3 linked regions of the Notamacropus eugenii genome follow. The protein of the gene in region 3 binds, or shares a complex with, the protein of the main gene of each other region. Links are inferred from orthologs where the notes say so. Each region holds a gene or a part of one and is shown on either strand. Other genes may lie near its edges.

Region 1 (9,830 bases), on a different chromosome or scaffold from region 3:
AAGTCTGTGTGTATGTATATGTATGTGTATATAACAATATATCTGTCATCCTTTAAATCTAATGCAGAGCTTTCACTTAGATTCCGTATTTACCAAGCAGCATTCTAGCTAATAATCAGTTCCCTAATACTTGAAAAGATCTATTCCCTACAAAAATAATCATCTGTTATTTTACCTTATAACTCATTCTCTTTTGAGTTTGCTTAATGGAGAAACAGCTCCTCACAGCCTGGATAGACTGATAAAATTCCTGAGCTTATGGATCTGAGTGCCAGAAGTGACTTGAGGTAACCACTTTGACAGTGTGGCCAGTGTAAAAGGTTCACTACGAGCACTCAGTCACCCACCCCCATCTTCTAAAACTCTCTCTTATCTTCAACAAGGTCTGTAAAAGGCTACCAAGAAGTCCACAAGTTGGTCATTAGTAATATTTAAACTTCTACTTCTGTCAATTTACTTGTTCACTTTTTCAGAGCATATTATTGGTATCTAATAAAAAGCAATGCTGTCCTTTCCATTTGTTCCAATGCTATTGCTTTTACATAAGTAATTAATCAAGAGTGATTGAAGTTGTTGAATTTTTTGCACCATGGTGTATGAACTTGGAAAGTTTGAAAGCCATAGATCAAGAAGTCCCTAAAACTCATAAAAAACACTTGATCTCCATCAGCAAGCCAATCTTCATTCCAGCTAAAACCTCTTCCTTGTAGCCCCACCTCTACCTTCAAGTCAGTCCACCTCCCAGAAACTACAAAGATACTGTCAGGGAAAAGCCAGTAGAATATCAAACTTAGTTGTCATAACAAATTCAGCCAGGAATGAAAGGCACCTCTTACAATGTAAGAAGAAACCACAGATCTCAAAATGACTTAATATTTTAACAGGCACAAAAACAGAAAAGGGAATACATAATTCATATTTACATGACAGGTAAAATTCATCAACACTTGAATTGCAAGAACAAAAGATGTTACCACTGCATTCACTGGGAGAGGAAGAGTCAGGAAACTTTAATAGATAATTCCTTGACCAGCACACTTTCACAATTAATTTGAAAATATATTGAATTACCACAGTTTCTGCTTCATTACAGACAACAGGTGGGATAAATAAAACATTTGCTGCCATATGAGAAGGATTTCATCTTCCCATTGTATGATAAAGCTGCTCTCTTAAATGAAGGGATCTGTAAATGAATGAAAGAGGATCACTACATCCTAAACCTCAAAACAAAAATCTAAATTTTAACCTGGCTGCCATAATTCTTATAGTACCTTGAACCTCTCTATATGTGTTGCAATTTATCAATTTTCACTTGTTTCCATTTTGCCTTGTTAATGTGTGTATGAACTCTCCATCTGAAGGAAAAGTTCGTTAAAGTCTTCTAAAATAATTTCTGTCCTCTTTTAATGTTGAAATGATCTTAGGCATTTCCTATTTTTTCAGTCCCTCATTTCCTTTAGCAATGAATACAACTTTAAACCTGTCCTGAGATGGTCAGTTTATTTCTCTACTATATAAGTGAATATTGAGTAAATATGCAAATATAAAAATAAGAAACTTTGAAACTGACACATCACTCCTTTTTCTTAATGAATAGAGAATGCAATAATGAAGTGGAGAAGGTTTTTATAGTTGACTCTCAACCAAAACATAGAGAAATAAATCAAGAAAGATTCTAAAATGAAAAAGAGTTATCTTGATGACAGATGACAGCAACTATTATAAAGGGATGAGATGCATTGCTCTGTTCACTGACATAAACTTTACAAATGGCACTATCCCAGTCAAACTAGATCATTATGTGGTGAAAATAGATTTCCATATCCCCATGAAAGTGTCATTCATGGAAACTGGTGAACTCTTGCAAAAGTAATTTGTTTTTGTGGTGACAAGAACAGTTGCTCCTTCTTCCATGGCTGGGAGTGGGAAGGATATATCGGAGCCTAGATTACAGTCTTCACACTTGCATGCTTCTACTATGTATGTCATAGAAGTGCTGCTTCTAGGGAGAGTTCCAGCTTCATTATTTTCACTCCTATCAAGATCAACTTTTGCAGTCTCCTGTAGCTCAGCTTTTGGCTCTGAAAAGATATAAACAAGTACAGCATTATCCATCTGTTGCTCTAAAAGTTTTGCCTTAAATCTAAGTATAAAAGGTCTTAGGTTTTGACAATGAAGCTATGATATCACTGAGAGGCACATCTTTCCACAAAGTGGTCTTTGCACAGTAGGCCTTAAACTCTTAACAAGGACAGAATCCTCTGTAACCATATATTACACAATGTCATGAGTGCCCTATAAGTGACTTCAAAATTTGGAGCTAGAGACAAGCTGATATTCATTTGGTCTACATTTTTTAAGTTAATGAATTTTCTTTAAAGGAATCTGAATTGAGAATGTAATGTAAAAAAGTTTCCATTATATTGTATATATGCATACATTGTATACATGTGAAGAAAAGTCTTAATACTTTCCATGACATTCTCCTAAAGTAATTCTATTAAAATTTTTAAAAAACTAACAACCTCATAAAACACTATACCCTACCTGTCCGAAAGACCTCTGGGCAATGAAAGTAAAAGAAGTAAGTGGAACAGATGTCTCACTTCTCTAGTTCTATTATAAATAAAAAGATGGATGTTTTTCACAAATTAGAGCCTAAATAGAAAAGTTGGGAAACTGACTGATATGTTTAGGGATAAGGTCATGGACAGAGGTGGTATGGAAACCTAAGCCTTAATATTTCTTTCATAAAGAGTTCTTAAATGAGACAATGAATACTCTATTGCCAGCTCTTCACTAGAAGACCTTAGACCAAGGAGGCCTAATGCCTGAAAAACTTGACTTGAACATTCTTCCTCAGTGAAGGCTTAAGTACTTTATCGTAAGTGAATCATTCAAATTTGTATTAAAAATACATTCACAGATGCAGTCAGATTTTTCCTGATACTGAAGGATAGGGCTGACAGTTTCTCTTAGTTAGCATTAATCAGTTAATCAATCAACCTTTGCAAAGATATCAATGTTTTCTGAAAAATACTTCTGTTCTTTGATAGTCATACCTCATGGAAAGATTTGGGGGGAAGGCATGGGTGCTGTCAACATCATAATGAATACAGTAGAAATGAATGTTGATCTGCAGAATTTGAACTAATTCACTCATTCACCAATGCACTCAGAAGATTTATGACTTAGATACTAAAGTTATACACACACAATAAGAAAAAACTGAAAGTTACAGCTGCCATCTCATGAAGATTGATTTCAAAGATTTAAAATCAAATTCATAACATTTTGTACCTGTATTTTCCAATTCGTCCTTTGATCTCTCAGGGATCATTTTCTTCAGGATAAGTATTAACAAGAAAACTGTCAACGATGAAATTATTCCCACACCTGTGCAGATCCAGATACTCACATCTGTGATTTTCAAGGAAGTGGTAGTACCTTTATCGATAGACAATGGCAGATATAATGAAGACAAGACAAAACACAAACACCATTTTAATATAACATAATTTCTCAAATTTCTCTTCTTGATTAATATTGACTTTCTATTATCTAAATAACCCTCTGTTTGAATAATTGATAAACTACATTGCACTGATAAGATTGAATAAATGCATTCAGTTCTGTTTTGAATAATTTTTGTCAATTTAATCATTGCAATCTGTCATTATCATGCATTATTTAGAAAATGTCACTGTCTTCCTTATATATTTTACTTGGAACAAATACAGAACCTGCACAACAAGCTAATAAATAAATGCAAGAGAAATATTCCATTACTTACTTGCATTACAATAACTCTGACACACCAAAGGGGGTGTGTTGGAACATCGAAGGTGACAGGGTTTGCAAGTGTACAGCAAATTGTCAAAATATTCATTTTGAAAGCACTTTTGAGCCATCTGTATCAGTATCCCCCAAAACTAGAGAACCATAAAAAAAAATAAGAATGAACAGGAAAAGTCTTGTCAAGTTGCCCCTAACAAATGTAGTAACAACAGCAGCTAAGTATCAAATAGTGCATTGTGTTCTGAGGTTATTTTTTAACGAGGTTTTCCCTTTCAGACTAGGGGCTTGGTGGCTAAGGATTTGAATACCAACTAAATTCAAATTTCTAAGCAACCTAACTTGCGGTAGCTTAGAGGCAAGACTAAGGGAGTGTAAATATGAAAAGTAAATCATTCATGAAACAGAAACTATTTATTTATAGAAGCTATTTCCCAAGCAGGTGAATTAAGTAGAACTTGGAGGGTGCAGATAATCCTGAGGGTTGTTAGGGAGAGGAAGACGTTCAGTTTAAAGGTTTTGTTCACTCATTCATTCAACATGCATTTATTAATCACCTACTGTGTGTCAAAAGACTGTGAGAAAGTGTTATAAATGTATATAATATACTTGGCATTCGGGAAAATACAAATATATACATGACAGGGTTCTTGTCCTCAGAGAGCCTGCAATTTATCAATTGACACAAAGCACATGCACAGATACTCCAATGTATTGTAGTGTTAAGTACAATATGAGGTAAATGTGATATCCTGGTTGAGGTAAAGCAAGTGACAATGGAGTTGGGTGTTGATATTGGGTGTATTTTGAAAATAATAACTAACTTTTATGTTTTATTTGATCTCAGTACTCCTTTATACTCTTAAAAATTATTAAGGATCACTAAGAACTTTTGCTTATGTGAGTTATTTCTATGAACATTTACCTTATTAGAAATTAAAATTGATAATTTTACATTTTTATTCTTTCTTTTAAAATAACATTAACATAAGCTATTTTATGAAAATAACTACTTTATAAACAAAAGAAAATGAGAATTTTAAAAAACACTTATGTAACTATCTCTCATGTAGAAGACAGCTAGATTCTTATATTTGTTTTTTTATTCAAATAATCATGTTATATTTTTTTGATGGAAGTATATGAAAAAAATCCAGTCTCATACAGATATATAGTTGGGAAAGAGAGGAGTATTTTAGTAGGCAAATAATGTCTTAGTACAATTATGGGTCCACATACTATACTTTGAATACCACTGCTCTATATTTAATAGTTCTGTGACCAGAAACAAGCCACTTAAACAGTCTAATATTCTAATTCTCCATCCTTAAAACAAAGAATAGTAATATTTCTACTACCTACCACACAGGGTCTTTGTGAGAATAAAAGGAGATAATATTTGGAAATCACTTTGTAAGCATTAAAATGCCACATAAATGTAAGCTATTATTATTAAAGGCTTAAACTAGGATGGTTATTGTGGAAATAAGAGAGGCGTGAGGATGAAAATTATAGCCTCCATTTTTATAATGCTTAGCAGTTTACAAAGCACTAAGCCTCACCTAGCAGAAGGTAGTGCAAAGGTTATTACCCCCATTTTACAGATGAGGAAACAGAAGCCTAAATAGGCTAAGTGATGTATCCACCATCACACAGCTAAATTCAGTGTCAGAGTTGGAGCTAAATTCCAGACTTTTTTAATCTCCACCAGCCTTCAGAGACTGATTGAATATGAATGTTGAGAGTGAGGGAACACTGGAAGGTGATTCTGAATGCCTATGGTAGTAGGCTTATGGAGCAAAAAAGATCTCTCACCTTCACAGATATTCATTTGTGTGACAGAAAATAAACAGGATCACTAGCAGGTTATGAAAGTCACACTTGTGGGGAAGTATGTAAGAGAATGAATAACAGCTGTGACACTGCAGAAAAAGCATGTCCTGTTCAAGGGATGCCCCACTCCATGAAGGCAGACAAGCTAGACCATAAAAGCCAATATCACCAAACCATTTGCCACTAGTGAGTTGGTCTAGTACTGGAGTGAGTTTAAATCCCTCCCCTATGGTCTGTAAGATCCTCAGAAAAGAGAGAATATTGGTGTGATACACTACTGACTCCTGTGTATCTGTGGCTTAGAAATAAAAATGTGGAATTAAGCCTGAATTTGTTAGATTGTTTAAGCAGGAAACCAAGATAAACCTTGGCAATTCAATAGATATTTGACCTTGTATCTCAAAGTGAGTCTCTGAGATGCCTGTCTCTAAGATGTTTCTAAGAAATTACATCAACATAAAACATTTTAAATCAAAAAAAGTCACTGAATTTAGGGGCAGCTATATGAAAACATACCCAAACAAAGATAAAATAAAGCTTCAGTTGTTGTTTAGTTGTGTCTGACTCTTTGTGACCCCATTTGAGGTTTCTTTGGCAAAGATACTTGAGGGGTTTGCCATATCCTTCTCCAGCTCATTTTACAGATGAGGAAACTGAGGCAAAGAGTAATTTCCCAGGATCACATAGCTAGAAAGTGGCTGAAGCCAGATTTGATCTCAGGAAGATGAGTTTTCCTGATTTCAGGCCCAGCACTCTATCCACTATACCACCTAGCTGGTCTCAATGGAGCCTTACCCTCAAATTATATTTCTTTATCAATTTGATATTTTATGTAACAGAATGCATATGACATGCTAAGATACTTCAATATAGTATAATCCCTAAACATTTGCAAAAATAATTCATCATGTCTTGTTTTCCCCAAACTATAATATTTTCAGTGGAAAATGGCATTTTCAGAAATAGTTATGACCCTCAGTTATTATAAACATCTTTTTTGAATCTCACAAGGTTTTCATAAACTATTTCTATTAATGTGTCTTTAACACAGAGACCAAAAAAAAAATCCAAGTTCAACATTGTCTACTATAAAATAGCATGCCTTTTTTTGATGTTGACTTTGTTACATCTTATTGATATCCTCTGTTTTTATATCACAATTGTTGCTGAAAATGTCTGCCTCTTCTAAATTTAACTTTAACTTGTAAAAAATTAAATAAAGCTACTCAAATCTTATTTTGCTTGTATTTTATGTATTAAAGAATGTATCTTCAATTTGGAAAGATTTAAAGAAAAGTAATTAAGAAGAGGGGAATTGAAACTCCTTCAAAAGTAAGTTGTTTTTATGTACCTTCCTTAAGTTAAAGTCACCAGATTCAGATGAACTACATCTTGGAGTATGGGGGAAAAAATAGCAAATGAGATTGCCAAGCCATTGCTGACGATATGTGAATAATAATCATAAAGAACAAATGAGACTTCCAATGAGGAGGAAATTAAAACAATAATAAGAAACTGCTTTGCCCAACTATATGCCATAAATTTGACGATCTATATGAGATAGATGTTATTTTAAAAAACATAAATTGTCTAGATTTACAGAAGAGGAAGTTGAATACTTAAATAACTCGATCTCAGAAAAAGAAATTGAATAACCCATCAATACACTACCTAGGAAAAAATCTCCAGGGTCAGATGGATTTACAAGTAAATTCTGTCAAACATTTAAAGAACAGTTAATTCCAATACTGTATAGACTATTTGAGAAAATTGGGAAAGAAGGAGTCCTGCCAAATTCTTTTTATGATACAAATATGGTTCTGATACCTAAACCAGGAAGAGGGAAACGGAGAAAGAAAATTATAGACCAATTTCTCTAACGAATATAGATGCAAAAATTTTGAATAAGATACTAGCAAAAAGAATACAGTCACTTTCACAAGAATAATACATTATGATCAGGTAGGATTTATACCAGGAATGTAGGACCGCTTCAATATTAGAAAAACTATTAGCTTTATTGATCATATCAACAACAAAACTAACAGAAACCACATGATTCTTTCAGTAGATGCAGAAAAAGCTTTTGAAAAAATACAGCACCCATTCCTATTGAAAACACTGGAGAGCATAGGAATAAATGGAACTTTCAATAAAAAGATAAGCAGTACCTACCTAAAACCTTCAGCAAGCATTATATGCAATGGAGATAAGATAGATGCATTTCCAATAAGATCAGGAGTGAAACAAGGATGTCCATTATCACCACTATTATTCAATATAGTACTAGAAATGTTAACTGTAGCAATAAGAGAAGAAAAAGAAATTGAAGGAATTTGATTAGGCAAAGAAACTAAGTTATCACTCTTTGCAGATGATATGATAATATACTTAGAGAATCCCAGAGAATCAAGTAAAAAATTACTTGAAATAATAAACTTTGGTAAATTTGCAGGTTACAAAATAAACCCACAGACAGATACAGGGGGGCAGAGCCAAGATGGTGGAGTAGAAAGACACAGATACAGAGGCTCTCCCCACATAGCCCATAAAATACCTGGAGAGAGGCTCTCAACAAATTCTGGAGCAGCAGGAGTGGAGAACAAAAGAGTGGAGGAGATTTCCAGCCCAGGGTGACCTGAAAGGCCCACAGGAAACGTCTGTTGCACCAGACGTGGAGCACAGCTCCTCAAACAGCGCTTGGTGGCAGAATCTCCAGTTGCGGAATCCCCAGTCCCAGTAGCAGCGGGTTCTCAGATCCCTCAACCCACAGGTGCCAAAGGTCAGTGACAGGGTTTTTTCAGCTGTCCAGGAAGGGAGAAGGGCCTTCCATAGCTCTGGCCTCACGCAGTTGCTGCAGAGGCCACATCGGCAACAGACTCCATAGTTGGAGCATAAAAACCCTGCAGACACTGAGGAGCTGATTCTTGCTTCGGCCTTGTGTGGAGGCCCTGGGGGAGCTGGTCTTTGTCTCACACTGAATGGCAGCCCTGCCCATCCAGCTTATCTGAAAATCAGCCCCTAGTGCTGACTTGGCAGAACAGGAGGCCAGGTGGCTGTGGAGAGGTAACTGCTAAGATTCTGGGCACAAAAATCCCTCTCTACACCCAGACCAGTACACACTTGATTGTGCCACCTTGGAGGAACTGAGATCTTACAGATTCCCAGAGTATACCCTGCTCTTGACAAAGGACCCAAAAGTCAAGTAACTGGTTGGGAAAAATGCCCAAAAAAGAGAAAAAAAAATAAGACTATATAAGGTTACTTTCTGGGTGAACAGATATCTTCTCCCATCCTTTCTGATGAGGAAGAACAATGCTTACCATCAGGGAAAGACATAAAAGTATCCCAAACATCCAGAATAAATATTCAATGGGCTCAGGCCATGAAAGAGCTCAAAAAGGATTTTGAAAATCAAGTTAGAGAAGGGGAGGAAAAACTGGGAAGAGAAATGAGAGAGATGTAAGAAAAGCATGAAAAGTGGGTCAATACCTTGCTAAAGGAGACCCCAAAAAATGCTGAAGAAAAGTGGCTTCCCCTCCCTCCACCCCCTTTGAGAATCCAGATGTCAGTCTCTGGTAACTATGGTCAGACAGTTGGGCCTGTCTTTTGAATTATGGTCAGGCAGAGGAAGCCATGTCTGATGAGCTTTAATTTCTCTGTATTTTCTTTGAAATTCAGGGTGCTGACTCCTCTGACCTAGGTGAATGATACATGTCTTAATTAAAGTGATTTTTAGCCCCTCAGAAGCTGTCTTTCCTTTTATGAATGTAGATCTACAAACCTGTGGTAGCAGGTCCCCCTGTGTAGGCTGGGGTGCTCACTCTTATACTTTGCCTTAAATCTTATTGAAAAGGCATCTAGTTTATCCCCATTACAAATATTATGACTGTTAGTTTTACCGCTTTTCATATTAAGGAAAGGTCATGTTATTCCTATGCTTTCTAGTGTTCTGTTTTGTTTCTTAAACAGGAATGGATGTTGTATCTTATTTTTTAAAATTCTGTATATATTGCTAAAATCATAAAATTAACCCAGCCTGATACTTCAAGCATTTTACAATATGACTTCCACCTACTTTTTCTTTTGTTTCATATTATTCCCCTTCGTGCACTCTCTACCCAATCAAACTAGTTTACAAGATATTCCTTGTATGCAGTATTCCATCTACCATCTCCATTCCTTGGCACAAGGGGTCT
Region 2 (9,685 bases), on a different chromosome or scaffold from region 3:
GCCAGAGGGCTACAATGAGACAGAGAAAGATGGGACAGAAAGTCCTGGATGGAGGAGGAGCTGACGCCTTTCCCCAGCCCACATGTTCTCCTCTTTCTCTCTCCTCCTGAGTGGGAGGATTCTGGAGGGAGCCTGGAATGCAGAAGCCCCCAGAGCCAGAGGCCCTGAACAAGGCAGCAAAGTCACCTCTGTAGACTTCCCCAAGTTTTCTGAAAAGGCAACATCCCCCTGGGCTTCCTCTCATGCAGGAGCCCACATTCAGGTGTGTTCACACCTACCTAGGTGAATACACCTCCCCCCATGTACATGTTCGCTGCCTGTAACACAGGGGATACTCCTCAGGTGCCTGGGCTGAAGGTTTGGGAGGTTTTTTTCCTTCTGTTACATAAAGTCTTATCTGCTCCAGCTCATCCAGGACATCTCAGGAGAGAGACAGAGAATGAAGAAGGGAAAGACAGATTTTAGGAGTGGATGAGGAAGAGTAGAAGGTAAGGAAGGGAGAGGAGAGGAGATGGGGGAGGAGGAAGAGAGATGGAGGGAGGAGAAGAGGGGAGAGACAAGGGAAAGGAGAAAGTGACACAAGACAGGTAGAAGACAAAAAAACGGGCGAGGGAGAAAGGAGAAAGGGGGTGTGAAGGAAGGAGAGAGAAAGGCAATTTCTCTCCAGCTGACTGAGCCCCCCCTCCCCCAGACATAGACCTGGGATCCCTGAGTACCTGCTTTCCCAGAAAGCACCTCCCTTGATCACTACAGCTCAGATAATGATTCTCTGTTCTATTGTTTGCTCTACCCAAGCCAGCCTGTTGTAACATCACACCTTGGGGTCCCCTGCCTGCTCCCTGGTTCTGTCCATTGTCATGCTGGGGCCTGACTGGCTCATGTATCTAAGCAACTCCAACTGTCCCATAACCCAATAGGCTGCTTTGTCCCAAGGGTCTGAGAACAGGCTGGATGAGCGTCCCTTAGGGAAACTTTAAAGGGGACTCCTGTCCTGAGTGGAACATTGGACTAAATCGTCCACAAAGTCCCTACTAAACAAGGATCTGTGATTCACGCATCCCAGAAAGACAATGGAGGGAGGCAGATAAAGGAAGAGGAAGAAGAGAGAGATAATGAGAGATAGGAAGGGAATTGAAGAGACAAAGTGAGAGACATTATGAGAGAGACAGGTGGAGGCAGGAAATAGAAACAGTAGGGTTTTCATAGGTGGGAAAGAAGAGGGGGGACCTGTGGAGGGGGTATGAGAGGGCCATAGAGTGAAACAGCCAGCCGTTCTGCAAAGGTGTCTTTGCTCTCACCCACTCTCTGCCCTGTTTCAGAGCCCTTGGTCTTTGCTTGGCCCTCCAAGCCTTCTTTTGGATTCCTGTGGCCTGCAGTTACTGCCTCCCCTCCCCCTTCTTCGACCTGAAGGTGTTGACCAGGCCTCATGGCAGATGACCTCTCCCTTCTCAGCAGTCACAGTACAGCTCCCTCCTGGTTCTCCTCCCCTCTCTGATTGCTACTTCTTGGTCTCCTTTGTGGGCTGCTCTTCCTCACATTTCTTATCAACAGTTCGAACCTTGAGGCTCAGCTGCGGCTTCAGTTATCACCTGCATTCAGAAGACTCCCCAACCTCCTGCACCCCTCACACTCTCTTCCCAAAACTGCAGCCCTGTCTCCACCCACCTCTGACCCTCTTCTGGGGGGCGAGGGAGCACAGGTCCTGATCTCCATCTCCTAACTCCTCTTTCTTTCAGAGACTCCAGCCCTTCCCAGACTCCCATCGTCCTTCATGGACTCTCCACTTATAAGATTAGTCACAAAGGGACCTCAGAGACCATCTCCTTCAATCCACTTGTTTTGCAGAGCAAGAAACTGAGGCCCAGAGAATGAGGTGACCTGTCTAAAGTCACACTGACCACTCCCAGATTTGAAAGCATGTCCTCAGAGGCCGCTGTTCAGTCATGTCTGACTTTCTGTGACCTCTTTTGGTGCTTTCTTGGCAGAAATATTCAAGCATTTTGCCTTCTTCAGCTCATTTTACAGAGGAGGAAACTGACTTGCTCAGGGTCACATAGCTAGTTAGTATCTGAAGCTAGATTTTAACTCAGACCTTCATGACTTCAGGCCTGGAGCTCCTTTGGCTTCCAGAGGTAGAGCATTTTGCAGGTCTAGGATAGTCAAGCTGGAGACTTCTGTCTCCATTCTCATTCTGCCCTTTCCCTCCTATCCACATTTGCTCATGCTGTCCCCTATGCCTAGAGCTCCTACTCCCCATCTCTAGGAAGGAAACCCTTCTTCCACTGAGGGCCAACTTGGACGATACCACTTCCATGAAATCTTCCTTGGCCTGCTTTGTCCACATCCCATGTGAAAACATCTTCTCTCTCCTCAGATTTCTCTGAGCACTTTGATCAGACCTCTCCTCCATACTTATCTCCCTTTCTCATTAATTGTGGTTATGTATAGATTTGTACTCTGTCCTCTACCCCTCCCCCCAAATTGTAAACCTCTAGAGGACAGGATCTATGTTGGGGTACCTTGGGCTGGAGTCCCTGGGGCAGAACTCTTTCTAAGGAACTTTTCCTTATGCTAAGCAAAAATCAGGATCCGGAAGCTCTCCTCTGATCCTGGTTCTGCCTTGGGGGAGCGGAGGCACCAAGTAGAACAAAGCTATTCCTTCTTCTCCAGGACAGGCCTCGGAATTCTGGAAAACAGGCTTCAGTTCCAAGCCCCTTTGGTCACACTCAGCATGGAATGCAAGAGGACAGAAGGGAGAGGATAGAAAGGAGAGAGAAGGGGAGAGACGAAGAGAGAAGAGGGAAAGGGGGAGAGAAAGGGGAGGAAAACGGAGAAAAGACAAAGGCACCAAAGGAAAAGAGGGCAAGAGTAAGGAGGAGATGGGGAGAAGAAGGGAGGGGGGTAGAGCCAAGGAAGAGGAAACTGAAGGGGAAGGGGGGAGGTGTCCCTACCAGCTCCAGTAGCCGTGAGGGTCTGGTACAAATTGCATGGCAAGCACTTCCTGAGGAGTTCATCAAAACACAGTGGAGGACATTTCCCGCTGGCCCCTCCAAACCCTTGCCCCACCATCCTTGACTGTCAGCCTGCAGCTGCAGCTACTCAGTTGCCCAGGAGGCTTTTGAAGGCAGGCAGGCTGGGAACCCAGGAAGGAGGGGGCGGGTTTGGGGGCAGCTTTCCCCTCCCTGGCCGGCTCTTTGCTTCAGAAGTCACCATGACCCTCCCCCATCCCCGACCGAGCAAGAACGTACCTGGGGCCCAGGGACCCTGACTGGCTGTACCCACACCTTCCTCAAGTCTCTGACTGTGTGTCACACTCTGTGTCCTCCTCCTCCATCCCTAGGGGCCCCTCACCATGGAGCCTAGCCTGCTGAGGTCAGCACAGGAAATTAGGAGGGCCTCCAAGTGAAGAAGCTTTGATGGCAAGTGAGCTCCTCATCCCTACAGGTGTTCAAGCACATTTAGAAGTGTTCTCCACCCTCGGTGAGCGGTTGGACCTGATGATCACTAAGAGATTTTTACGGAGAGAATCTCTTCTCTGACAGTCTATGATTGTCGGACCCCAAACAAGAACAAGAGAGGCAGGGAAGATCCAGTAAGGCAGAAAGGGAAGTGCAGAGAAAGACACAGAAAGAGGCTAAGAAAGAAACCCATCTGGAAACAGGAAGGAAAAGAGGAATGAAAGTTCTGTGGTCCTAGAGATAGCTTGACCAGAAACAGGAATCGTCTGGAGCAGAGATAAAGGCAAAGGCAGGGGAAAGGCAGAAAGGGTCAGACAGAGAGAGATAGAGAGACACAGAGAGAGAGACAGAGGCAGAAATAGAGACAGAAGAAGAGAAAGAAAGGAACAGTTGGAGAGATAGAGACAAGAAACAGAGAGAGAGAGAAAGAGAGACAGAGAGACAGACAGAAGGAGAGAGAAAGAAAAAGAGAGAGAGAGACAGAGAGACAGAGAGAGGAGGGAGAGAGAGACAGAGAGAGTGAGAGAGACAGAGAGAGTGAGAAAGAGAGACAGAGAGAGTGAGAAAGAGAGACAGAGAGAGAGAGAGGAGAGAGAGAGAGACAGACAGACAGACAGACAGACGGAGAGAGAAAGAAAAAGAGAGAGAGAAAGAGAGAGAGAGAGAGAGAGAGAGAGAGAGAGAGAGATGAATACAGAAAGAAACAGACAAAGGCAGTCAGAGCCCGAGATAGCATAGCTGACCTCTACTCCCTCACTCCTAGCCACACCAGGGACTCTGTTTGCACCCCCACCCCCACCCCCTACAGACATGGTGTTACCCAATCTCTTTCCTTTCTCTCTGCCTTCTCTCAACCTGGTCAGCTGATTACATCCTCCTTCCATATCAGCTCTGTCCAAGCAAAGAATCCTTTTCCGGGTCTTCACCTCCTGGACCTCTACAGCTTTCAACAGCTGATCATGTCCTAAATGGAAGGGTGTATAAGAGCCCAAGCAAGGCCCGATCTCTGGAGGGAGCGATTTGGGGTCTGAGTTCTCTCCCTTTGCTTCAGAGCTGCCTCTTGCTCCTGGTTCACCTCCTACCCCCCTAACTATTTCTCCTCTGCCTTTCCCCCTGGCTCCTTGTCAAAGGATCAGAAGGGAGATCCTGGGACTGGCCCCACTCCCTAAATGCGGGTGGGTGTCCCCCCAGGTTCTGTCCCCAGCCAGAGGCACAGCCACGAGGAGGTCTCCCAAGCTTGCCTACATCTCTACCTCTGACCTTGTAGTGAGCTCTCCGGGGACTCTGATCCTGAATGGTAAGAGGAGTGAGCATTTCTATGGGCTTTCAAGTTTGCAAAGTGATTTACAAGAATTATGTCTTTGGAGTTTGACAACCACCCTGAGAGGGAGGAGCTGCTATTATCCCCATTTGGGGATGTGGGTATGCTGTTCAACAAAGTAGACTGCAGCCCAGCCCTGACTGTCCATTCTGTTCTCCCATGGAGTCAGTGCAAGGGACCTTCCATTGTGCTGGGGCCCTCCCCAGGTTACATGAACCAGACTGTTGTCACCTCCTGCCCCCCAGCCCAGCTGTAGAGTAGGCACAATGAATACGCACTGCTGCAGCTATTTTTTACTAAGCCTGGGCGCCTCTTCCAGGAGGACATGTCCGTCACACTGCCCCCTCCCCCTTCCTTCTCTGACTCCCGTGGGAGCCTCTATCTTGCCTCCCCACCCAGGCCAGGCCATGGCCCATTGACTTGACACAGGAAGGTGCGTAGGCGTCCTGTCGCTGAGTGGGTAGGCTGGTAATCCAGAAGTGGGTTTGAGTTGGTGGGGGTGGGCGTAGCTGGGAGGGTGTGGGGGCTGGCAATGACTGAGGAGGTGATTTAGGAGGGAGGATGTGATGGAAGCTGGGCATGGACTGCTCATACCCTACTCCTCTCTGGCAGCCCCCGTAAGGAGGGTGAGAGAATCCTTCTCATTTGACAGGGGGAAACTGAGGCTCTGGGAGGTCAGTAACTGCTACAAGATCATCTATAGAGCTAGCATTTATAGAAAACTTTATGGTTTTCAGAGCACTTTAATACATTATCTCATTTGGTTTTCACCACAGCCCTGCAAAGTAGAAAAGTTCTTCTGTTGTCCCCATTTTACAGATGAGGAAACCAAGGCAGGCAGCAGTTACATGAGTTGGCCAGAGTCACATAGCCAGTGAGTGTCTGAAACAGAGTTCTAAATCAGGTCTTTCTGGCTCCGAATTCAGCTGCCTAAACACCAACCCACCCAGCCGGAAGTTCAAGCTTAGAGAAAAGCACAAAGTCCAGTCTTCATCTTCTAAGGGAGTGGCTGTCAACACAATAGGATCCTTGATGGAGCCTTGATGGTGAGCAGGGAGGGATCTCAGGAGTCATCTGGTCCAACCCCCTTGTTTACAGATGAGGAAACTGAGCCCATGGAGGGGAAGGGATTTGCCCAAAGTCAGAAGTGGCAGAGCCAGGGTTTGAACCAGCTTCTTGTCCACTGTGCCAGATGTCCACTTCCTTCACCATGCAGGTGAAGCCCATGGGGCCCAGAGAGGTTAGGGAATTTGGCCAACATCACGCAGCAAGGTGAGCAGAGCTAGAACCAGCTCCCAGGCCTCCTGAGCTCCCTTCAGTCCAGGGTTCATGCCTAGACATCATATTGACTTTTGGAGAATCTCAGTGGCCCAGGACAGAAGAGACCTTGCTACTGAAATGGGCGCCATTTCCAAAGAGAACTAGTGAGAAACAATGTGAGTGATATGGTCCAAGAGAGAAACTGAGAATTAAACATGGGGCCAGGAAGAGGCACTGAGACACAGGAGAGTGGCCAGGCGGGCAGGGGGCAGAGCTGTAGAGACATAGAGACAGTCACAGAGGAGAGTAAGATGAACATCTACAGCTCTCATTCATCTACCTATCCATCTAAGCCATCTATCTAGCAGTCTACCTATCTATCCATCCATCCTTCTGTTTTCTATCTATCCATCTCTCTCTAGCTATCTATTCATCTATCTATCCATTCATCCATCCATTTCTCTGTCCATCCGTCTGGCCAGCCAGTTAGTGAGACCTATTGAGACAAGAGCCTGGCAGAGACAGCAAACAGCACAATCATACACAGCCCCCCCACCCCCACTGCCCACCACCTACCACCCCCAATCGCTACACACACACCACACATTCCACACACACACAACATGCTACACCACACACACACCACACCACAATACATACACCACACACACAACACAACACACAACACAACACACACAACACATACACCACAACACATACAACACACAACACTACACACACCACACAACATACCACACACACCCCACCCCACACATACACCACACACACCACACCACATGTGCAACACACCACACACATACACACACCCCACACACACATATACCACACACAACACAACACACACACCACAACACACACTACACCACAACACACACACCACATATCACACACCACACACAATCTCACACACACCACAACACAACACACAACAGAACACACCACACACATCACACCACAACACAACACACACATACACCACAACACACACACACACCATACCATACACACATACAACACAACACAGACAACACAACACACTATATCATACACACACACACCACACACACCACCACACATACATATACCACACACACCGCAACACACACAACATACCACACATACATACACACACCACACACCACATCACACACACACATACCACACACAACACACGCACAACACACACATACACTGCAACACACACCACACATACACCACAACACACACAACATACCACACATACACACCACACATCACACACACACACTCTTATACACACACCATACCAAACCACAACACACCACACCACACACACACACACACACACACACACAGAGTGGGGTAGAGACTTGGTTCTGAGGTCAGGACCATCTCTGATTCCCTCCTCCCCTTCCGGAGCCAAGTCCCCTATCCCTGGGGGATCAAGTGAGGTTGGCAGAGGGGAAGGAGAAGCGATGTATTCAGCTTTCAAGCAAGGTGCCCATTTCCAAAGTTGTCCCCAGACCCTGCTGGCCTCCTGCAGGAAGTCCTGGCCCCCTTACCAGCTGTGCCTGCCATCCTACAATAAGGAGGGGAGGACATGAGGTTGAGGAGACAGAGACTCAGAAACTCAGCACTGACTGAGGTCATGAGATCCTAAATCCAGAACTGTAAGGAAGATTGGAGGTCATAGATTCCAACTCTTTCATTTTACTCTGAGGGTACTGAAGCCCAGAGAGCTGCCCAAGGTCATGGGTGGTGAGTGTCAGAGAACCCAAGTCTACTAATTCCTTTGAGAGCATCTAGGCGACCTCTTCATTTAGTAGGTGGGGAAACTGAGGACCTGTTCAAGGTCACTTAATAAGTCATTGTGAGAGCTGGGTCGAGTTAGATTCCTGGTCTCCTCCTTCCCATTCCAGGCAGAAAGCCTCTACCTGGGACCACGAAGGCTCTGGACAGAGAAAGGAGTGAGGACAAGGCTGGGCTAGGGCCCAGTGAGGCAGATCATGCCATTATCAGCCGAGCCTAGAAGAATCTGAAGTGGAACCAGGACGTCCCAGGCTAACTCCTGGTTCTGGCCATGGGGGGTAGGGTGAGAGAGGAAACTGAGCCCCAAGCCTGGAGGCTTGTCCTCACTCAGGTGGGACTGGGATAGAATCCATTTTAGCTTCTACAGTGGGGGAATGAGGAGCCAGCCCTGCAAGCTGGGGGTGGGGAGGGGGTCTGGGGCCAGAGATCCTGAGGTCAGACACCTCCTGAGGAGCTGAGCTAGGGGACGGCCACCAGCTCTGCACCACACACTGGTACCTCCTTTCTTTGGTATTCACAAAAAAATACATGTGGCCATGTATCTGTATGTGTATGTGTGTGTGCGTGTGTGTAATGTGTATATATGTGTGTGTATGTGTGTGTGTGTGTTTGCACACACAGACTAGTCATGCTCATCTGACATCAGTGTGTTGTATAACCTGAGTCCCAGGACCTTTCAAAAATATGAGGGTTTTCTAAGCCCCTGCTCCATCCCCTGTTCTAAGCTCCTGCCCAGCTGTGCTGTTCCCCATTCTAAAGTCCTTCATAGCTCTGAAATTCTAAGGGCTCTCCCAGCCTTCGCATTCTAGGACACTGTTTCTTTAGGAAATAATGAGATGTGTAACCTCATGTGGGATGGGGAGGGGCATGTAGGTGGACAACCAAGGACATGTGCACAGACCAAGGAAGTGGGCCCCTCTTCCACCTTTCGTTCACCTTCCCCCCCTTCCAAGGCCAGCCCCTAGGGAGGCCAGAGGCCTCAGGGGAATTTGGGCTCAGCCTACGAGCCTGCAAACAGAGCTGTTTTCTTTCAGGAAACACAGGCCCCTGAGAGCTCAGCCTTTCTTGGCAGGGTCTTGGGGAGTGGTACTGGGGAGGGAATTCTTGGTTCTCAGCAGCCCCAGCATCCATGTGCTTTCCCTCCAGGACCTTCTTGATGTGGCCAGGCCTCTCTTGGGGCCGAGGGTCCTGAGAGTGACGAGGTTTAGACCATGGCTCCTAAAAGTGGTAGAAAGCAGCCTTTTTCCTTCTTTTGGTTGCAGCTTTATTACACTTCATGTTATTTTTTTTTCCAATTACATGTAATTTTCAATATTCACTTTTAAAAACCATTTTTATTAAAAGTTCTGAGTTCCAAATTCTATCCCTTCCTTCCTCTCCCCTCTCTGAGACAGGAAGCAATCACATATAGGTTACACATGTACAACGATGTCAAACGTTTCCATATTCGTCACTTTGTACAAGAAGACTGATAAAAGAAAAGAAATGAAGGAAAATGAAAAGAGCCTCAGTCTGCTTTCAGTCAATATCAGCTCTTTCTTTGGAGACTGTCCGTATGCTCAAGTCTGAGTCCTTTGGAATTGTCTTGTATCATTGTATCAAAGAGTTGTCTCAAAGTTGATCATGGTATCATGTGGCTCTCATTGTGTCCAATGTTTTGGTTCTGTATCCCTTACTCAGCATCAGTTCGTGTAAGTCTTTCCAGGTTTTTCTGAAATCCACAGGGCAACTTCTTGACTCCTTGAGCGATCTGCCCCCAGACCAATATGAGCTCAGAATGCTCTACTACAGATTGGGCACAGATAGTCCCTGCGAATATTTGAAGTGGATATCCCAA
Region 3 (9,900 bases):
CTCACTGAAATGTTCTTTATTGATTAATTGTTGAATGAACTTTTTAGAGGGAAGGGAAGATCAGATGTCAGTTCTGTTTCTTTTCTAATCCTTCTGAATTAGCACTTGCATCCAGAAATGTACTTGCTAGCATCAAATTCCATTTCAACAATGAGAAAAGGAAGATTTAGTAGTTTATTATAAATAGGATTTGATCTAGAAAATGTGCAACTGACAAATATCACCAACAGTAACCAAATTTTAAATCATATTGCCATTATTACATACTCTTTCACACTGTAGAGACTTCTGAAAAATTAGCCCATTACTGGTATCTTGACCTCAAAATGGGTTCAAAAAGTCCCTGAACGTGTGAAGAAATATTAGTCATTAAATCTGTTACTTCCAACCAAATGAATGGCATAGACATGTACAACTTCTCTTTTGACTGACTTGACTTAAAGAAAATGTTCATCTTGTCTCTTGGCTCTTTATATTCTTAAAATGTCAAGCTTAACAATAACAGGGTTCAGAAAAAATATGGTTGCTAGGTCATGGCTGTCAATTGCATATTCCACTCTGAAAAACAGAGCAGATGTTTGTCTCTTGCAACACTGGAGACCAAGTTTCTGATCTTCTGATGAAGACAAAAATCCCTTCAGGGACAAATTTTGGCCAGAGGGTATAGTGTCAATAGCCAGCTGGCTCTCCGCTATAGCTTTTGTGTGAACTGATAGAAAAGAGGCTCATGATTTTTTTCCATGTAGGCAGGAATATGGGACCCGTTGCTACTCTTAAAACTTTATGTTGCACTCTCCCATTACACTTCTTTGGGATCTTTAGGATCTCTTCTCACTATACAGTTTACCCAAAAATAAATATGGAAAGAGAAGCTAGCTACAGAAAATAAATCGTGTACTGCTTGGATATCTAAGGACAAAGACTCAGGTAAGTAGGACTGGAGGGTTGGGCAGTCAAGTCCTCACCTAAAAAGAAACGATGCTGCCTACCTGCCTTTGCTACTACAGAAGGCAGTTTGCACTAGTAAGCTACTAAGAGTCAAACTCTAGATATGTTCATGGGTTTAAGCATGAAATTAATTTGAGCAACTTTGTGGTTATTTGGCACCTCTTTTATACTGGATTTCCCCACATTTCTGTTTGATTTTATCCAGAAACAATCTTGTGAAATACTTTGAACCCAGCTAAGTCTTTAATTTGAAAGGTTAAAAAATGATTAAGAAAAATATTGCCATTGAAGAATGAAAAAGAGATAAAACTCCAATTCACCAGAATTATAACTGAAGGAATGCCTTAAAGAAGGTGTTTCTGCGGCCATTGTACTCAAAGTTTCAGGGAGCTATCATCCTAGGCTCACCACCACAACCAAAAGGCATTCCTAGCTAAAACTTTGTGGCAGTCCTCTTATGTTTTTCAATCAGCTGTAATAAATATGAACTTTTAATATTTCATAAAATGTTTTCTGGTTAAATTCAAACTGAGAAATCAGAAGAAATTCAGAAGAAATACAATGTCAAGTAACCTCAAACTCATTCAAATCACTATCACTTTAAAGTTCCTATTGAATCAATCACTAAACATTCGTTTACTGTGTACTATGTACAAGTGACTCTAGTAGGTAGTGTAGAAGAACCAAGTTTTAACCTTCTCCCTTTCTCCTTCCTTCTTCCTGGAGCTTCTGATTGGATTCTATTGGTAAACAGGCAATACACATACAAATGTAACCAAGAGTGAAAAATACAATGTCATTAAGTGCCAAATGAGTATGACTTGTAAAAATGATAAATGGTAAAAGTTCAGGGTAAGGGAAGATTTATAATGATCTAGGGTGTTCAGGAAATGCCCCACAAAGAAGATATATTTTAAATTTGGACTTGAAAGCTTGATTGCATTTTATGAGCACATCTTTAAAAAGGGAATCACTGGGGTTTTAATAAAAAATGTGACCACAACCATTACATTTGAAGTCATACTTTGTCAACTCTAAAACATAAATTCCTGAATTATTGTAAAGAATTTTTCTGATCATGGGCAAATGATGGCTAAATGCAAAACGGTATAATTAATCTCTCAGATAAGGCATTGTATCTCTCTGGGCCTGTTTTCTCTTACGTTAAATTATACTGGATTTCACTTAATGGAAAGGATTCTAAGGTCATCTCTAAGACCCTGTGAGGCTGTAAGCCATTCTAGTAAATGCCTCATGGTTAGAAAAGATTAACTGACAGAAAAATAGAGACTGAACGTCTTATTACATTGGATTAGGGAACTCCCAGATGAGGGAACTCTGTCTATGAATGCAGGAAGGTATCTTCACTCTAAATAATAGCCTTAGAGAGTTGTTTAAAAACTAAGAGGTTAAGTGACTTTTACAGAATTGCATAGTCAGTACGTGTCAGACACAGGAGAAAATTCAGAGGCCAGATCTCTATCCATTTTGACACTTTGCCTCTCTAAGATAAGAAGATGTTTAAAAATTAAGGACTCCATGAAGAATTACTTTAAAAAGACTAGCAGTACATTCAGCTTTCATTGGAGAAACCATTAAAAATGTCTTAGGAGAAGCATTAAGATTAAAACAGTACACCTGTTTGGATATAAAGTATCACAAAATGGCGCATGGAGAGATGAGTATGTTTAGCCAACTCTCTGTCTCAGATAGGCACATTCTAATAATAGAGAGATGAAAGCATCTGAATGAAAGAATGAAAAACAAAACATTTATTAAGGGTTTTCTATGTGCCAAGCACTGTGTCTAGCATTGAGTATATATATAAATACAAAAGTAGAAACAGTCCCTAATTTGATTGTGGTTCCAGAATTGGAAAAGGGATAGGAAAGGGTGTGGTTTTATTAGGTGAGTCATGAGCAATGCTTCTGACAAAGTGGCCTTTATTTTATTTGAAGATTAAATAAACTGCTCCCTTTATCTCAAGCCCAGGTGAATTATTCCACCAATGAAATCTGTTATTTAGAAACATTAAAATACTGACTAGGTTATTGCAATCACCAAGAAGAGCTAATAGTAAAATAGTAAAAGAGGTTTTTTCCTTCCCTTCCACCATTCCCCCAGATGATTCCAGGGCCCTTGAAGACTGACTCTTAAATGTCTTCTTCATTACAACCTGCAACAAGTGAAGCAATCCTCGTAAAGGGCTCCCTTGTTTTAGCAACATAGCTGGTCAGGTTTTGTTTGCAGCTAGAAAATATGATCAGAGATCCAGGAAGGAAAATGAATTCACCTAATTTTCTCCAGTTTGTGCTATGGGTATATGCCCCAGTTGGGAAGTTTCTGAAACACTGCTTCCCCTCAACTTACTAGTTTCCCCTGAGTCCGGAACACCTCTTCTGCTTCTTCTGCTTTGTCTAAGGCTGATTTGGGGACTGCTTTCTCCTGTGATAGGGGGTACCCCAAGCTCCTGTTAATGGAAAAGACCCAGGTTATTTAAAAAAACAAAACTAAGCAGAAGTAAAAGAAATAGGAAGCATGAGAGCCCTGTAACCAGGGCTAGGCAGCTTCTTGGTAACTCACTTGTAGTCCTGTGATGGTAGCAGCTTCTGACTGGAGAATAGTAGGGTGTGTTCCTGCTTTCTCCTTCTGCAGGCCCTGAAGTTGCTCAGCCCTGCTCTGATAAGCCTGAAGTTCATGCCGGAGACTCCCCAACTCAGCCTGCAGGGTGAACACTTGGTACAATGAGACCAGTGCCAGGCCACCGGAGAGAAGCGTCAGTAGCAGAGTGGCTGACAGGAGCCCTCTTCTAGCTTGCCATGCAGAGCTTCTTCCCTGAGGAAGGGTGGGTGTACAATCCAGGAGTTTCATTTCTTCTCTTTTCTTAAGGCCAGAAGTGAAGAAGTAAATCTTAACTGCTCCTCTTTCTCTGTCGTCATCCATTTCTCTATTTGAACTTTGAGAGTTAGAGAAGGCAGAATAAGTGACCACATGGAATGGATCATTTCCTGTTAGCCTTGTTTGCTGATGTCCAGCACCGAGGGGATCTTAGAGCCTGTCTTGCCTCATCAGGAGGCCTCTCCTGAATTTTCTTCCTTCCTCTGCTATGCATCTCTCTAGTTACCATAGAATAGGTTTTTACTGGCGTTCCCTCTTTTATTTTATTGCACAATCAGCCTTCCTCTTTTCACTTTCAGTTTTTGTTATATGTTTTTATTGGCATCTCTCAAACTTCCAGGAGCAAATGGGCTCCCATAGCCCTTCTTTCTTAGATACAGCTTTGACCTTTGACTAAGAGGTCTATCAGGGGAAATGTTTTAGGTTCCAAAATAACAGATTAGTGTGTTTAAGTAGCCATATATGAAACCTTTATTAGACTATCTCTGGTTGGGCTCTGTCTACTTTAAGATAGATGAGGCTAAACTGGGACGAGTCCAAGGCAGGGCAATAAAACTAATGAATGATTAGGTGGGGTCAGCTAAATAAAGTACAGGGTCATTTTCTTGGGGGAATGATTCAAAAATAATCTGAAGCACTAAAACAGATGAAGGGTCATCATGTGAGAAATGATCATCAGCAGTTTTGATTCCATCTAACAGCATAAGTAGAAATGTTGAAAGATAGATTTGGGTTAGTTGTGGGGGGGGGCAGGGAGAGGGAGGGATCCAATATCCAGTATCCAATAATGAACATTTCCTGTAGGCTTCTGCATAAATTACTAATGGAGACATACTGAAGCTCTTTAGGAACAAGACACAATCACCTACTTGGAACAGATTCTTCATTGCTTTCCACATACACTATGTTCAGTGCCACCTCTACCCCTTCTCTTGTGCTGTTCTGCATCCTTTCCATTCTGGGGATTCCCTTTTCTCCTGGATGCCTATTCAAATCCTATCCATCTTTCCAAGTTGAACTCCAGGAAAACTTTCCAAATCACAGGATAAAAGAATCACAGACTAGGAATCAATGCCAAAAAAAACCCAGCAGCAGCAATAACAAAAACATCTTCAAACAACAAATATTTATTAAGCACCTGCTATATGTTGAGGCCTGGGCTACATGCTGTAGATACAGACACAAAGAATGAAATAGTTGGTATACACAAGGGGCCTACATTCTAATGGAAGAGACAAGTATATATAAAAATGCATATGACACAAATATGAAGAAAATTAAGAAGTTGTTTGTTGGTCATCAGGATAACTAATGTAAAGACCCCAAGAAAGGAAATGAAGTTTCCTGTATGAATAATATAGAGAATGCCAATTTGTCTGTTGTCTGGATCAGAGTGTAGGAGGAGAAATACCCTATGAATCTGGAAAGATAGATTGGGACCAGGTTCTATAGTGCTTTAAAAACTAACTTGATTTATATTTTATCTTAGAAGCAACAAGAAACCTGGAGTTGATTGGTTGATCAAGAAAATCACAGAATCAGATCCATGTTTTAAGAAAATTACTTTGGCATCAATGTATAGGATTGACTGCATTGGTGAGACACTGCGAATTGCAATTAGCAATAATCTAGATGAAAAAGACTTGATCTAAGACAGTAGTTGTGTGAATAGAGAGAAGGGATTGAATGTGAGAAATATTGTGAAGGCATAAATGGCAAAAATCATCAAATTTTTGAATATATAAGGCATGGAACAGTGAAGAGTCGAGGGCAAGGCTGAAGTTATGGACCGGGAAGTCTTGAAGGATGGTCTGTGTCTTTGACAGAAATAACAAATTTTGGAAGAGAAGAAGGTTGAGGGGAAAGAAAATGAGTTCAGTTTTAGGAATAGTGAGTTTAAGATATCGATGGGATATTGCATTTGAAATGTCTAATAAGCAAGTGGTGATGCAAGACTGGAGTTCAGGAGAAAGACCAGGGATGGATAGGTAGATCTAGGAGTCATCTACATAGAGATAATTGTCAAATTCAGGGGAGTTTATGCAGACATAAACATATTAGACATATTAGAGACAGAGAGATAGAGACAGAGAAACAGAGAGAGAGGGAAAGACAGAAAGAGTGAAAGACAGAGAGACAGTGAGAGAGGTAGAGACAGACAGAGACAGACAGATAGACAGACAGACACAGAAAGACACAGAGAGAAGCAGAGAAAAGAGAGACCAAGACAGAATGACAGACAGAGACAGAAATAGAGAGACAAAGACAGAGAGAGGAGAGGAGAGGAGAGGAGAGGAGAGGAGAGGAGAGGAGAGGAGACGAGAAGAGAGGAGAGGAGAGGAGAGGAGAGGAGAGGAGAGGAGAGGAGAGGAGAGGAGAGAAGAGATCCTAAGGCAAAGCTTTGGGGACCACCTTCAGTTAGAAGGTGTGATATGGATGGTGATACATCAAAGAATGAGAAAGAGTAGTTAGACAGAAAGGAGGTGACCAGAACAGAATAGTGTCATGCAAACTCAGAGAACAAAGAGTAGCCAGGAGAAGAGGATGATTGATAGTATAAAATATAGCGGAGCAGACAAGAAGAACTGGTGCTGAGAAAAGACAAACATATTTGGCAATAAAGAGAGTAGTTTGAGTTGAGTAATGAGATTGAAAATCATATATATACATATATATATGTATATATATATATGTATATGTATATTATATATATATATATATATATATATATATATATATACACACATATATATATATATATATATATACACACATATATATATGTTCTTATTTTGGTCCTTCGTTTTCAAAGAAAACCATGACATCAGAGAAATGATGACACGACTTGCACTTGACTTTGTTTAGAGTGTTCTGAAGGACACAGAAGATGTTCATATATATATGTGGGGGATGGGGAGGAAAGACTTGGGCAGGTTGGAATGTTTCAGGGAAGGAATCAGTTGATAGGGATAGGCTGAAGACCTGAAAGAATGAATATATTGAGAATGCAATCTGATGGAGAAGACAATTAATGAATGTAATCAAATATACATGTAAAGAGGTAAACCTTGACAAGAAGGGACACCCTTTTGTCAGAGACCAGGGAGAAGAAGAAGTGGAACATGATGTCAAAGGGTTTTGAGATGAAGTGACCTCAAATGCCATTTAGGCCAACTTATATGTGAAAAAAATCCTTTACAACATACCCGACAAAGTATTCAGTACCTTGAATTCTTTGCTTAAAGATTTCCAGTAAGGGGGAATCCAGCATTTCCCAAGGCAGCTGATCCCACTTTCAGACACCTATAATTGTCAGGAGCTTTCTCATTACAGCTCCCTAAATTTGTATCTTTATAACTTCTACTAATTACTCCTAGTGCCAATTTCTGCGCCAAGTGAAATAAGTGTAATTCTCCTTCCATGTGACCTTTTTAAGATTCACATTCAAGAGCCAAGATGGCAGACTAAAGGTAGGAACTCACCAGAACTCACTCATCTTCCCCTCTGAATAACTTTAAAATAATGCTTCAAATCAACTTAGGAGGTTGTGGAAAGGTCTGTCCCACCAGCATAGTGGTCAGGCCTTGAGCACAGTGCAGTGCAGGCCATTTCTTGACAAGGCAACAGCAGGCCTCAAAAGTAGCTGAAGCAGCAGCAGCAGTGGCAGCTTTGGAAACTCCTAGACGGTAAAGTGGTCAGAAAACTGATTAGGAGATTACAGGGGCCTCTTTGCTGGCACTGGTGCAGGATCCTGTTGTAGTGCCCATGCACAGTTCCAAGTCACAGTCCCAGAACAAAAAAAGGATACTCACATATGCAGCTACAGGAGAATAGAGACCCTGATCACAGTTCCAGGGCAGAGAAGAATAATTGTAGTCACTCACAAGGGAGCAAGGATGCTGGTCTTAGCTCCAAGGCTGAAAAAAGTACTAACATGGCCACAGGAGAGCAGGATTCCCAGTTACATTTCCAGAACCATAAAGTAGGAGAGCACTTGCAGTCACAGAGGAACAGGAATACTGGTAACAATTCCGGAGAAGAGAAGGGTACTTTTAGTTCTTACAGGACAGAGTATAGACCAGAAGATCACACCATTTTGGGAGAACTGAAAACTTATAGACTATAAAAACTAGCTCTGAAAACAGCAGTGTGAAAAACCTGAAGACAATGGCCATTCCACTCCAGGAGCAAAGTCCAACTTTAACATAATGTTAAGAGTCAATAAATAGGGTAGAAAAAGAGCAAACAATTTAAAAATAACCTGACCACAGAAAGTTACTATGGTGACATGGAAGATTAAGAAACAAATTCAGAAATCAACCAAGTCAAAATAATTACATACAAAACTTCAAAGAAAAGTGTAAATTGGACACAAATCCAACAAGAATTCTTGGAAGAGTTCGAAATAAGAGAGGTAGAAGAAACATTCAGAAAAGAAATGAGAGTGGTGCAAGAAAATTGTAAAAAGAAAGTAGAGCTTGGTAAAAGAGACACAAAAATACTGAGAAAAAAATAAACACCTCAAAAAATAGCATTGGCCAAATGGTAAAAGAAGCATTAAAATCCACTGAGGAGAACAACTCCTTAAAAAGCAAAATCGACCAAATGGAAAAATAATTGGTGTAAAAATTCACCAAGAAAAGGAACTCCTTAAAAAGTAGAATTGGTCAAATAGAAAAGGAGGCACAAAAGCTCATTGAAGAAATTAATTCCTTAAAAATTAGAATTGGGAAACTGTAAGTAAATGACTTTATGAGACATTAAGAAACAATATAACAAAGCCAAAGGGGAAAAATAGGAGAAAAATGTAAAATGTTTCATCAGAAAAATAACAGATATGGAAAATAGACTGAGGAAAGATAATTTAACAATTGTTAGACTACCTAAAAGATATCATCAAAGAAAAGAACCTAGAGATTATGTTTCAAGAAATTACCCTGATTGCTTAAAATCAGAGGGTAAACTGAAATTGAAAGAATTCATTGATCTCCTAAAAGAGATACCAAAATGAAAACTCCCAGGAATATTATAGCCAAATTTTAGAACTCCCAGGTCAAGGAGAAAATATTGAAAGTAACCAGAAAGAAACAATTTAAAATTCAGTGGAACTTTAGTCAAGCTAACACAAGATTTAGCAGCTTCTACATTAAAGGGGGAAGGACTTGGAATATGATATTCCAGAAGGCAAAAGTACTAGGATTAAAATCAATAATAACCTACCCAGAAAAAACTGATCATAATCCTTTAGTGAGAAAACATACATTTAATGAAACAGAGAACTTTCCAGCATTCCTGATGAAAAAAACCAGACCGAAATAGAAAAATCTGACTTTCAAATAAAAGAGTTAAGAGAAGCATTAAAAGAGAAATCATTAGGGATTCAACAAGGTTAAATTGTTTACATTCCTTTACGGGAATATGATATTATAACTCCTAAGAACTTAGTTATTATAGTTAGAAGAAGTATACATATAGAGAGGGCAAGGGTACGAGTTGATTAAGATGGGATGATTTTTTTTTAAAGGGGGGCTGAGAAAGAAGAATGCACTGGGAGGAGAAAGGGAAAGGTACAATGAGATAAATTTATCACATAAAAGAGGGACAAAAGAAAGCTTTTATAGTGGAGAAGAAGATGGGGGTGTAGCAGGTAATGCTTGAACCTTACTCTTCTCAGAATTGGTTCAAAGAAGAAATAACATACACACTCAGTTGGGTATAGAATTCTATTTAACCCTATGGGAAAGTAGGAGAGAAAGGGGATGGTGGGTGGTGGAATTACTGATAGAAGGAAGGATAGATTAAGGAGGCAGTGGTCAGAGGCAAAACAGAGGAAGGATAGGATGTGTGTGTGTGTGTGTGTGTGTGTGTGTGTATGACAGAGAGAGAGAGAGAGAGAGAGAGAGAGAGAGAGAGAGAGAGAGAGAGAGAGAGAGAGAGAGAGAGAGAGAGAGAGAGAGACCAGTAGGGGAGGGAAGAGGTTAGAGGAAAATAACCAGTTAGTGAAAGTGAATGGAATGAACTCACCCATAAAATGGAAGTGGACAGCAGAATAGA

What was found.
Region 1: the proteins of TNFSF13B (region 3) and TNFRSF17 are in contact, whole or in part, in a crystal structure (PDB 1OQD), measured with the Homo sapiens proteins. The link is inferred for Notamacropus eugenii from reciprocal best matches to the Homo sapiens genes TNFSF13B and TNFRSF17. Residues at the interface, in NP_006564.1 of Homo sapiens: Ser162, Tyr163, Lys204, Thr205, Tyr206, Ala207, Met208, Gly209, His210, Arg231, Cys232, Ile233, Glu238, Pro264, Arg265, Glu266, Asn267; in NP_001183.2 of Homo sapiens: Tyr13, Asp15, Ser16, Leu17, Leu18, His19, Ile22, Arg27, Ser29, Ser30, Asn31, Thr32, Pro33, Pro34, Leu35.
Region 2: the proteins of TNFSF13B (region 3) and TNFRSF13C are in contact, whole or in part, in a crystal structure (PDB 1OQE), measured with the Homo sapiens proteins. The link is inferred for Notamacropus eugenii from reciprocal best matches to the Homo sapiens genes TNFSF13B and TNFRSF13C. Residues at the interface, in NP_006564.1 of Homo sapiens: Ser162, Tyr163, Asp203, Thr205, Tyr206, Ala207, Met208, Gly209, His210, Leu211, Thr228, Arg231, Cys232, Ile233, Pro264, Arg265, Glu266, Asn267, Ala268; in NP_443177.1 of Homo sapiens: Asp26, Leu27, Leu28, Val29, Arg30, Val33, Leu37, Leu38, Arg39, Pro41, Arg42.

Annotation. Positions count from the first base shown.
Region 1 is NC_092872.1:95,273,107-95,282,936, forward strand, and holds TNFRSF17 (tumor necrosis factor receptor superfamily member 17), read right to left. Parts: upstream 4,266-9,830; 5' UTR 3,915-4,265; coding exon 3,797-3,914; intron 3,451-3,796; coding exon 3,304-3,450; intron 2,085-3,303; coding exon 1,801-2,084; 3' UTR 860-1,800; downstream 1-859. UniProt on the Homo sapiens protein: Receptor for TNFSF13B/BLyS/BAFF and TNFSF13/APRIL. Promotes B-cell survival and plays a role in the regulation of humoral immunity. Activates NF-kappa-B and JNK.
Region 2 is NC_092874.1:300,935,191-300,944,875, forward strand, and holds the start of TNFRSF13C (tumor necrosis factor receptor superfamily member 13C), read right to left. Parts: upstream 3,580-9,685; 5' UTR 3,070-3,579; coding exon 2,952-3,069; intron 1-2,951. UniProt on the Homo sapiens protein: B-cell receptor specific for TNFSF13B/TALL1/BAFF/BLyS. Promotes the survival of mature B-cells and the B-cell response.
Region 3 is NC_092877.1:215,029,595-215,039,494, forward strand, and holds the start of TNFSF13B (tumor necrosis factor ligand superfamily member 13B), read right to left. Parts: upstream 3,991-9,900; 5' UTR 3,892-3,990; coding exon 3,532-3,891; intron 3,419-3,531; coding exon 3,319-3,418; intron 1-3,318. UniProt on the Homo sapiens protein: Cytokine that binds to TNFRSF13B/TACI and TNFRSF17/BCMA. TNFSF13/APRIL binds to the same 2 receptors. Together, they form a 2 ligands -2 receptors pathway involved in the stimulation of B- and T-cell function and the regulation of humoral immunity.